Rhinolophus ferrumequinum: one gene and its partners. The protein of the gene in region 2 interacts with the protein of the main gene of each other region in a biochemical or structural test. Links are inferred from orthologs where the notes say so. Each region holds a gene or a part of one and is shown on either strand. Other genes may lie near its edges.

Region 1 (3,747 bases), on a different chromosome or scaffold from region 2:
TGTCACATAGAGGCTCATGGACTGGCTGTTCTGAAAAATATTTAACATCTTATTCTTTACAATTTTAGAATATTTAACAAGGAGGTCTCCATCTTAACCTCGGGCACCATTGGTTAGGGATAGTGGTATGCTGGTAATGCTTGGGCTCTCAGAGCTCGGGGAGCCCCAATAGCGAGCATTTGCCAATTTCTGTGGTGTAAATATTCCCGCTAAGGCTGATGTCAAGCTACCCAATGTGAGACAAGGGAAGAGATGAGCAGTCAGATCTCATGAGCCAGGACCAACAGGCTCCTACATAGTATTTAACAGAAGTACCTCACAGACACACAGAGTGAGGGACACACAAATACACACATTACACGGAAATACACATATGAAGACGTATACATAGACACATACTGACACAGACATCCGCATACAGTCACACACAGACACATGCTCACACACAGATCTGCACACGGGCACGGATACTGACAGTTACTCACGGAGATAAAGACGGGTACACACAGACATACGTGTACACTGGCACAGACACATAATGACATATATACTCACGGACCCACATGTAGATACACAGGTGCATATGGACACTAGTGTCCACACAGGAGCTTACACAGTTACACACATACACTAATCTGTAAAGACTTCACAAAATGGTAGGCCCTATGAGTGATATTCTCAGCTATTTTCTAGTCTGTTGTAGTTTAAATGCAGAGAAACTCTTGGAAGGATGCACAAGAAACCAGTACCAGGGGGATGCACGGTCTGGGGAGGAAGATGTCACCTGTTAAGAACAGGGACTTGGGAGCCGCACTGCCGGCCTATCTGCTCACGGGCTGTGAACCGTGGCAAGTGACTGCACCCCACTGAGCCTCAGTCTCCTTAGCTGTGAAATGAGGCTCATAAGTGCACCCCCCACACACCCCACTCCACCCCCTGCCCTGGGGCTTTTTTAAGGCTTGAATGAGCACCTCAGTGGGTGTGAACACTTGAAACTGGCCATTGGCAGCAGCACTAGGTAAATGGAGACTTGACATTTATACCTTTTTATACTTTCTGATTTGGGAACCCCCTTAATTTATTACCTGCCATAAAATATAAGTAATAAATAAAAGGCATGAGCTATCAGTTTTTAAATGTTTGCTGGGATCTAAATAAATAGATTTCACATTGCTGCCTGGCATGTGGTTGAGATGTATCTTTGTCTCTGCCGTGTGTGTGTGTGTGTGTGTGTGTGTGTGTGTCACACACACACACACATGCAAGTCCAGGTCCAAGCTCTGGGTCAGAGAGAGGCCTGGTCCATTCCTGCAAACTCAGGGCCATTGCCCATCTACCCCCACCATTGCTTGAGACCAGGCCCACCTCCAGACACATCCACTCACGGTACACTGTGATATCAGAGGAGCTTGTCATCTGGGAGCCATTGCAGAAGCTAGCGCAGAGGACCTTGCTGTCAGCAGTCACATTGCTGAGCTGGAAGGCCACCCAGTTTGGGCCACGGCTCACTAGCTCCTTCAATAGGGACGTCTCCAGGGTGATGAGTTCAGGGTCGGGGCAATCAGTACTGCAGTTTACCAAGAGGGATCCTCTGGCAGGTATAACTGGGTCCTGGGGCTCCACCCGCAGCAGGTACTCCTGCCCCTGGATACCTACGGGAACAAGGGGAAGCTCTGCTGGTTGACCTGGTGCCCCCAGCCCAGCCATCTTCAGGCCCCACCATCCATCACCTCCTTGGAACAATGGTCTCTGCCTTCATAGTGCTTCCAGTTCAGTGGGGAAGGCAGGTGATAGATCAAGTGTAGGGGAGAGCTTGGAGGGAGATCCATAGGAGCCTAGAGGAGGAAGTGAGTCAAGGAAACTTCCTGAAAGAGACGACTATGGCCACTTTTGAGGGTAGGTAAGTAGGAATCAGCCAAGTGAAAGGGAAAAGTGATCCTGACAGAGGGAAGAGAATAGGCAAAGGTCAAGGGAACAGATGGAACAGAGAGAGTTGGGGTGGAGGGACAAACCACATGCAGGGATGAGGCCTCAGGGAGCCCTGAAAGCTGAGTGAAGGAGCCATAAACTTTGTCTCCAGGACACTGGTGAACCCCGTCAGATACAGGTTGAAGTGAACCACAGCAACAGGATGTGAGAGCTTTGTTTTCTTCACCCTCTACCAGTCCCCCAATACACCCCTTCCTACCCCGGTCACCTTACCTGGGGGCAGCAGACAGCAACCCAGAAGCAGGGAGATGAGCAGAGTGCAGCAGGCCCCGTGCAGTGGCCCCAAGGGCACCATGGTGGCCAACCTGTGGAGGAAGGTGCTGTAATGTAGCAGTGGGCAGGGCAGTGGGGAGCAGGCGGGGCCACCCAGGAATACGGAAACACAGCCACAGCAGTTAAGATTGTATAAATCCAGGGGTTGCATCTTGCCCAAGCCTGGGGAGGGGCAGGGAGGATCCTCTGTAACCCCGAAGGTCCAGCGTGGGGGGCCCAAGTGGGGCCCTGCGAGATGAGACGGGAGGGCACTGGCGAATATCTGACAAGGCGGACCTCATTTGCCCGCTCTAAACCTACAGGAAATACTAACACAGTCATCTTCCTTTGTTCTCAGTACTAGGAAGTCTAGGTGGAGGGGGGTGAAATACCTCCTTTCTGCTGACCTTAGAGGAAGTTAATGGGGGGGACCTCCAGACACCGTCCTTGAAGTGATAAAGAGTGATTTCAAGGCAACATTTCAAGGGGATGATGCAGGGACTTCTAGGCAGGGCCTCGAGAGATTAGTGTGAGATCTCAACATTCTTGGAGGGCATAAAGAGGGACCCCTGGGCCAGCCCGGTGGCTCAGGCGGTTGGAGTTCCATGCTCCTAACTCTGAAGGCTGCCGGTTTGATTCCCACATGGGCCAGTGGGCTCTCAACCACAAGGCTGCCAGTTCAACTCCTTGAGTCCCCCAAGGGATGGTGGGCTCCGCCCCCTGCAACTAAGATTGAACACAGCACCTTGAGCTGAGCTGCTGCTGAGCTCCCGGATGGCTCAGTTGGTTGGAGCGTGTCCTCTCAACCACAAGGTTGCCGGTGTGATTCCTTGAGTCCCGCACGGGATGGTGGGGCGCGCCCCCTGCAACTAGCAAGGGCAACTGGACCTGGATGTGAGCTGCACCCTCCACAACTAAGACTGAAAGGACAACTTGACTTGGAAAAAAGTCCTGGATGTACAACTGTTCCCCAATAAAGTCCTGTTCCCCTTCCTCAATAAAATCTTAAAAAAAAAAAAAGAGGGACCCCCTAAGATGAATGAAGCCATGAAAATGAACAGAGCCCACATTTATTGGGCACTTGTGCGAGGCTCTGTATTGGCTTCCAGAATGGCTCCTGTAGGGCCCTTTACCACTGAAGATTTTGGTGGGAATCTCCACGGAGATCCCCCCATTCCCTGTGCACGATGCTGAGGTGGGGTGTTTGGGACACAGATCAATCCTGAGCCACCGTGTGTCAAGGATGCACTTGTAACTATCCCTTATCCCTGTCCCCCTTGCCCTCACCTCTAGGCAGCTGGTCTCTTCATCTCTAGGAAAGGGACTGGGAACAGCAGTAGTGGGGGTGAGGGTGGGGGTGGAGGGGGTGGTGATGGTGGTGTCAGGTGGCCACTCCCACCTCCATCTGCTGCATCTCTTGGGCCTCCAACCTGCCTCCTTTTCCACTAATGAGCACCAGAGAGGGACCTTCATGGCACCTAGTATTCATTGATTCTCACCATCCCT
Region 2 (3,747 bases):
TAAGAAATGAGAAAACAGGAGGCACCTTGTGATACTCCCAACTCTCACCAAGAGACCACACAAATGCCAACATTGGTTACTTTGCCCAAATTATCCACTCCCTTTTATCTGAGGACCAGGAAGTCTTGAGAACAGGGGACAACTTGCTTTGGGCAGAAAAGGGGACTCCACCTCAAGAACCTAATCATTGAGTCAGAATACAGGGTCAATGTGATGAGCATCAAAAAGCCTAAACCCCAATCTTGATTGTCACCATGTGATCTTAGGTAGGTCCTCCCTATAGGCCTAACTACCTTCATTAGTTGAAAGAGAGCGAGGTATTAGATCAATAGTCTCTGAGGTCCCTTTCAAGTTAAGATTTTATGGTCTTAACAGGCATGATATAGTTGTTTCTCCTAGAAGTTTATCATTCCTTGAGCCAAACAGCATGGGAAATTCTCCAAATCTTCCAGTCTATCAAAATTCAGCCCTCTCCTTCCAACTTGATTCAAGTTTCTGTCAATCTGCATAAAAATGCCTTCAGTATTCAGGTACATTCAGTACCCTAGGCTTAGCATCAAACAGCCCATACTCCAGTCTCTCTCCATACCCAGGATAAAGATCACCATGCTACCATCTTTGCCATTTTTGACTTAGATGGAATGGTTAAGGCCCCTTTGAGACAATTTCCAGACCCATCAAGTTGTGTTTAAATGTGAGAGAACTCAGAATTGAAAATGAGAGATTCCACTAGAGAAGAGAAGTCATGGGCAGTCTATTCCCAGAGATCCACCCACCTATTTAGGCCCTTCTATACCTTAAGAGGAGTGAAAGAGTCAACCACAGGGATAAACCCAAGGAGAGGCTCCTGGGGGTGGGAGGGTAAGTGTGGAAAAGCCCCATGGCGTAAAACCAACAATTTAAAAGAGAGATAGAAGCACATACTTGTGGAAAACTTAGTGCTTCTGAAGGACAAGGTTCGAAAAGGCAAGAATGACTTGGCAATAAGGCTGGAATACAGCAACCTGGCAACCAAAGCTCAGCACACACCCAAAGAACTGGATCCTGACTCCTCTCATCCAGAGACCCCCAGCCCTTCTCAAGGCTACTAGTCACTATCTCAGCTCTACAAGGCTCAGGCAGTCCTAGAGAGGGTTCTGGGAGAACTGCAAAGCCTAGTCCAGTCCAACAAGCTGCTTGGCCTAAGGGACTCAAACCAAGGTGGTCACCAGGCCTTCCTGGGCAAGGGAAGGGCCCCAGCAGCCATTTGGCATGACTTGCACAAAAGCAAGCAGGCTCATTATTCAGGCACACTCCTCCCCCACCCCACCCTCCTGGGCATCCGGCCCCCCTAGGCCCCACTCCCAGGAGGCTTCTGCTCTTCTCATAACAGCCAGTGGGTTAGAGACCAGATCCTAGAAGCTACCACCACTCTAGAAAGGTGTGGCCCAACAGGAAAGAATCCACACCTCACAGAACAGTCCGGAGGGGATAGGAGGAGATAGAGAGTCATTAAGTAATGGGAAGAGCAGGGATTTGGCGAGTGGAGAGGACGAAGAACCCAGTCCTCTCCCCTAGGTGGTTGGGCAGACCTCCCTTCAGATTGGTGCCTAGTGAAGTGTTAGTGCACTTGGGTAAAAGCAAGCAGCCTCAATGAGTCCTTCCACAACTCTCTCCTACCCCCCCCCCACCAGTGGGAAACAGCTGGAGGCGCCTGGGGAGGCTGTGGGGAAGGTGAGTGGGGGTGCGGGATCCGCCCTTAGGATCTCCCTCCTTCCACCTTGATTCTTGGTTCCCATGGCCCCTCCTGGACAGTGACAGCCTTGCTTCAGAACGGCGCCAATTTCAGGTCTGGGGGACTTGTTCTCCTTCGGACCAGAGTCTTCTCCCCCACTCCCATGGCCTGTCAGGGACAAGAGAACTTGGGCCCCCAAGGAAGCCTTCTCAAAGGTCGCATCCCAGATGTAGGGAACTGGAATGTGAGAACCATAACAGCCCCGCCCAGTCCACACTTCTTGCTCGGGACCACCTCAAGCCTTCCACCCCCCGAGGGCGCGCCATACCAGGACTCCACTCCTGCCCCTCCCGACCACAGGCCCTGGCGTAGGGCGCGGCGTCCCGAGACGGCGGGTAGCTGGCCAAGTCCCCAGCCATCATCAAGGGGCTACAAGGGTCAGCTAGAGACCCTGGGGCCGGCAGCGCCCACCCCGGACACTCACCGTCTTGGGCATGGTGGCGGCAAAGGCGGCGGAGTTGGCGAAGTTTGGCTCGGAGCTGTGAGGCAGCGCTGAGCACACGGTACACACCGCTCGGACTCCGGGGGCTGGGGGCTCGGATTGGGTCCCTCACTAGAGTCGGGGCGACTGCTGGGCTTCCTGCTAACGGGCCACGACTTCACAAACCCCACCCAGGAAAGAGCCGCCCCCGTCGCGCCGCCAGCTCCTTTATGTGGCCGGGCTTCCGCGCCGCTCCCCGCCCTCGCGCCCGCCTCCTTGCTGTCCGCTTGCCTCGCTCCGCCCAGTCCAGCCCTGCCCAGGCCGGCCACACAAACCACGTGGGTGCTGGACTGGGCCTGGGCGCCCCAAGTGGGACTCCCCGCCCCAATCCATACCCACCCTGCTCCTCTCCCACCCACTTCACACCCCCTAGACCTCTGCATCTGGGCAATCCGGGCCCTGCGGCCCCACCCCCAAACAGGGCCGGACCCTAGGCCGCACCCTGGGCTGCACCCTGGCAAAGACTTAAGCAGCCCCTGACTGCAGCTTTCCACTGATGGGGAGCTCGCTACCGATCAAAACTGCCCGTTCCCTATCAAGATACCTCTGACTCTTAGAATGTTCTTCCTGTGTGTATCTGAACTCCTTTTCTCTGTGGCTTCCACCTGTGGATCTTACATCTGATCCCTGGGGCCACTCAAATCCCCTGCTGTCCCTCATAACTCCCCAGAGGTTTGAAGATCTCCTGTCCCCCTGAAAATTTTCTTCTCTTGGCTAAACCGCCTCAATTCCTCCAACACTTCATCAGTTCTCTTCTGTAGGCCTCTATATCCCTTTCCCCATTGTTATTTCCTCCCTACCCTTGCTTAATCCTCATTTTCATCAGAACTGGGCTCCTTTTCCCCATATCTGTCCTCTACTACTTTCCTTTCTTTAAATCCCAATCTCCACCTTCTTCAAATCAATGTCTTGATCCTTTAGCCCTCCCCCCAACACATTCACTGATTTATGGCATTCACTTTCTGATAAGGTTATAATCCCCCCAGGTTAGAGGTACTCCCAGTCCACTCCCTTGGGATGTGTCTGCCAGCACCCTTTCTACTTCTTGTCAAGGTCACAAAATCCCAGGACAGCAGTGTTCTAGACCGTAGCAGTTACCTGCTTAAGTCTGAGTTTTAGTTTGAAAGTGGCTGGCCATAGTCATTTTTTCTCCTGTCAACTGGCAACTGTTCTGAATATTCTTTGTGAGGTAGAGCACCACATACATCAGGGATGATAAGCCAACTTGGGGCAGTGGAAAGGATATTTGAGGAGTGGTCAGGACACCTGGCTTCTACTCCTAGCTTTGCTATTAACTCATTCTGTGACCACTGTGTGGCCTTGGGTAAGTCCCTTCCCCTCTTTGGGCTTGAGTTTCCCCTTCTATAACAAGAAAGGGTCAGACTCCTGGGTTTCCAAGGTCCTTTCCCACTCTGACATTATAAAAGGATGAGAAAGGAAGTAGACTCCCTAGCACAATAGATGAGTCTAGCAGGGTTGCATAAAGAGTGGC
Region 3 (3,747 bases), on a different chromosome or scaffold from region 2:
AGAGTATACATCATAAAATCTACGCAGTACAGTGAAATACATGCATGTGTAAACACAGACGAATTACAGATGTGCGTGCGCCGGTAGCGGTGTGGAGCTTTTTCATTTTACACCCTCCCGACTGTTGGAGGTGCCATCCCTGCATACTGCTGCTGCTATGCCAAGCACGCAAAGTCCTGCCCAGTGTGTACCCAGGCCATTTCTCAGGGCTGTGTTTGCAGTGTGTCACTGAGGGTGACACACTGGGGTCTCCCTTTAGGACAAAGCAGGCTTGTGGACCAGCTGCTCGGAAAGAGGAAAATTCCCCGAGCTCAGTGTTCTTCAGTTTGTGGGGCACGCCTGTGTGTGACACCCTGTGGGACTTGAGGGCCAGGGGAGCTGATGCAGACATAACACCCCTGCTGCTGGTTGTGCGGTGACTAACGGATTCCGGAGTCTCTGACCCAGGAGTCTCATGTCTTTGTGTCAGATTCGCTTGTCAGCTTGTGTGTGGGATACGATCTCAGTCGTTTCCATCACCTACCATGAACATTTATGATTACTTTTAATTACTTTTAATCAGTTTGGATTATTTGAAAAGAGAGGCAAAAAACCAAAACCATACACACACTAAAACTCAAAGCTTACAAATTAGAGGAAAGTCCGAAAACAAAGAAGACAATAAAGAACCTCTCCTCATAGCTGCCCTGAGAAACTTGGTTAATCCCTCAGGGGGTACCTTGCCAGACTGCTGTCCATACAGAGTCCCACATCTTTGTTAGTCTTCTGCAAAAATAAGATATAGTGTGAACTGCTTAGCAACCACATTGATTTCGTTAAGCACCCCACAACTGGGGACCACTGTGGTGACCTCTCCGCTTCTTCATAAATCCTCAAGACCTTATCAGGGATCTCTTGCAGCTTGCAAAGGCTTTCATTGCCCCCAGCACAATTCGGGGCTTCCTCTTGCACTAGTACTTCCTGGGAGCTCTTGGGACAAGAAATCGTGCCACCCTGGGTCCTGGCCTAACAGCTTGGGGTCTACAAATACAAAGGAAACCACCCTCCCCTCCCATTTCCTCCCCTGTACCCCCTAGATCTCAAGAGCATGTTCCCATCACCTAGGCTTTGATCCCCTTCCCGATCCCAGCTTCACCTCTTGCCATCCCATGTCCCAGCTAAGACTCAGGAATCCCCATTCCAGACTCCCTGCTCCCCCACGCCCAACTGCCTCAGCTGAGACCCCATAGCCCCTGGTACCATCCCAGACCCCGGAAAGAGTAAGTGATGGCGCTCTCATCATAGCAGCTGTAGGAACAGGGCGGGGCGGGCAGGATGCTGGGGTGGGGGGGGAAGGGTGGAGCCAGGGCCACTTCCTTTCCCCTTGGGGCCCGTTTGCCCAGTCCTGCCCCAGCCTCAGGAGGAGTTAGAGCGGCCTGGCCCCAGCCCTGTGCCCTTATCAAGTGAGCTGGTAAGGGGGTGTGACTTGGGGGGCAGGGGTCTCAGCAGACCCGGGAATGTGCCTAAGGCTTGAAAAGACTCTGAAAGATGATGGGAAAAGAGGATCAGGAGCCACTGGGGCTGAATGGGATCAGGGGAGACCAGGAAGGGAGGTGCTGCTGGAGTGCCAGCTGCCAAGGCCACAGGGGTCTATGGGATAGAGCTGACGGGAGAGCTGCCAGCATCGGTTCCCTTGCTATTTCTGATAATATAAAAGCAAGGGTGGAAAAAGCTGTTAAACCGCAGGTTAGGTCTGGCAGTTGGCAGGGAAGTGGGCAGGAGGGAAGGGCCTGGTCAGGTTCTCCCCCTCCCCCTCCAGGCTCCTTATATGTCCCATTTCTCCAACTTCCACACCTCAGATCCTGCCTCCTGCTCATGCCTGTGGTCATGAAAATGACTCTGCTTCTTCTCCTCTTTGGGAGTGTCTGGGCCGAAGATCTGGACATGACTCCATCCACACAGCCCACTCTTCCTGGGGTCTCAGCTACGCATCAGACCCTAACTCCTAACTCAATGACCTCCCACCATACAGTAACAAGCGTCCTTGGGGAAAATAACCAGATCACGCATCAGGTCATCACACCTCGCCATGCAACCAGTGACACGTCCTTTCTTGAGACTTCTACTGCTAACAGCTATGGCCCCTCCTTATCTGAGCCAGCAATCTCCCCGGAACCTCTCACCAACAAATCAATGGTCCAGGACATCTCTACTAAAACCAGTAACCCTGCTGTCCTAGCAGTGTCTGCTTCGGGAGGCTTCAATATGACTGGTGGAACCAACGCAACTAGATCTCTGGAGGCATCCAATGGGACCAATGAATCCACTGTCGCCATGGCAACTGCATCTCCAGAGGCATCCAGTGGAACCACTGGATCCACTGTCGCCATGGCAACTGGCTCTCTGGAGACATCCAATGGAACTGGATCCATTGTGACTACGATAGCTGGACCTCTGGAGTCCTCCAGAGGGACCATTGGACCCTCTGTCATCATGACAAGTAGCTCTCTGGAGACTTCTGATGGGACCAGTGAACCACCTATCACCATGGTAACTAGAACAGTAGAGATCTCCAAAGGGACCAGTGGACTCCCTGTCACCATGACAACTAGCTCTCCGAAGACCCCCAAGGGGACCAGTGGCTCCCCCATCTCCCCCATCTCCACGGTAGAAATATCCACCATACCTACCTCAGAGCCCCTAGGTTCATATAAGGGGACAAAAAACACCCTGCTGATGGCTGTGCTTGTGGCCATGCTGGTGGTGATTGTCCTCCTGGCATTACTCCTGCTCTGGCGCCAGCGGCAGAAGCGGAGGACCGGGGCACTGACGCTAAGCAGAGGTGCAAAGCGCAACGGGGTGGTAGATGCCTGGGTGGGGCCCGCCCCGGTGTCTGATGAGGAGGCTGTGATAACAACAGTGGGAGTGTCCGGTGGTGACAAGGGCTCTGGCGTCCCCGGCGAGGGTTCTGGCCGGCGGCCCACGCTCACCACTTTCTTTGGTCGAAGGAAGTCTCGCCAGGGCTCCTTGGCCCTGGAAGAGCTCAAAGCTGGGTCAGCCTCCAGCATAAAGGGGGAAGAAGAGCCTCTGGTGGGCAGTGAGGATGAGGTTCTGGAGTCCCCCATTTCTGATGGGCCAGAAGCGGGAGACGCGGAAGTCGTTTAGAGCCCGTGAACACCAAGCCTGGCGGTCAGAATCATTTCTCGCTTTCATCACCATCCTTCTAATCTTCACTCCAAGCTCATCATCTCTCAGCATCCTCACTCGGAATCCTCATCCCCCCTCTTAACCTGGGAACCCCCAGCAGCCCCCACACCCAACACGGGCCCCCAGCCCCGAAGCCAGGGCCTGCACCCACGGGAACAGCCTCATCAACCCAACTTCTCTCCATCACATTTTGGCCGATGTTTTTATCCTTGAAACCGGATGTTTGGTCTCCATAATGCCATCCTTCCTTGACTTACAATTTCTCAGAGGATTCCCCCAGGAACAGCAGAATCTGGGAAGAAGAAGGAAAGGACCAGCCAGCAAACTCCCACTTAGGATTACTCTGAAAAGCACATTTGACCCCATAGGTTAGGACAATCCTACCATGTTTCCCCGAAAATAAGACCTAGCCGGACAATCAGCTCTAGTGCGTCTTTTGGAGCAAAAAGTAACATAAGACCCAGTCTTATTTTACTATATATATGTAATATAAGACCGAGTCTTATGTTAGTTTTTGCTCTAAAAGATGCATTAGAGCTTATTGTCTGGCTAGGTCTTATT

Evidence for each region.
Region 1: the proteins of MSN (region 2) and ICAM3 form a complex in vitro, tested with the Homo sapiens proteins (2 studies listed by BioGRID). The link is inferred for Rhinolophus ferrumequinum from reciprocal best matches to the Homo sapiens genes MSN and ICAM3.
Region 3: the proteins of MSN (region 2) and SPN form a complex in vitro, tested with the Homo sapiens proteins (2 studies listed by BioGRID). The link is inferred for Rhinolophus ferrumequinum from reciprocal best matches to the Homo sapiens genes MSN and SPN.

The regions. Positions count from the first base shown.
Region 1 is NC_046301.1:39,903,698-39,907,444, reverse strand, and holds the start of ICAM3 (intercellular adhesion molecule 3), read right to left. Parts: upstream 2,564-3,747; 5' UTR 2,414-2,563; coding exon 2,203-2,413; intron 1,653-2,202; coding exon 1,386-1,652; intron 1-1,385. UniProt on the Homo sapiens protein: ICAM proteins are ligands for the leukocyte adhesion protein LFA-1 (integrin alpha-L/beta-2). ICAM3 is also a ligand for integrin alpha-D/beta-2. In association with integrin alpha-L/beta-2, contributes to apoptotic neutrophil phagocytosis by macrophages.
Region 2 is NC_046284.1:79,399,515-79,403,261, reverse strand, and holds the start of MSN (moesin), read right to left. Parts: upstream 2,444-3,747; 5' UTR 2,211-2,443; coding exon 2,199-2,210; intron 1-2,198. UniProt on the Homo sapiens protein: Ezrin-radixin-moesin (ERM) family protein that connects the actin cytoskeleton to the plasma membrane and thereby regulates the structure and function of specific domains of the cell cortex.
Region 3 is NW_022680357.1:784,558-788,304, forward strand, and holds the start of SPN (leukosialin), read left to right. Parts: upstream 1-1,309; 5' UTR 1,310-1,450; intron 1,451-1,838; 5' UTR 1,839-1,854; coding exon 1,855-3,144; 3' UTR 3,145-3,747. UniProt on the Homo sapiens protein: Predominant cell surface sialoprotein of leukocytes which regulates multiple T-cell functions, including T-cell activation, proliferation, differentiation, trafficking and migration.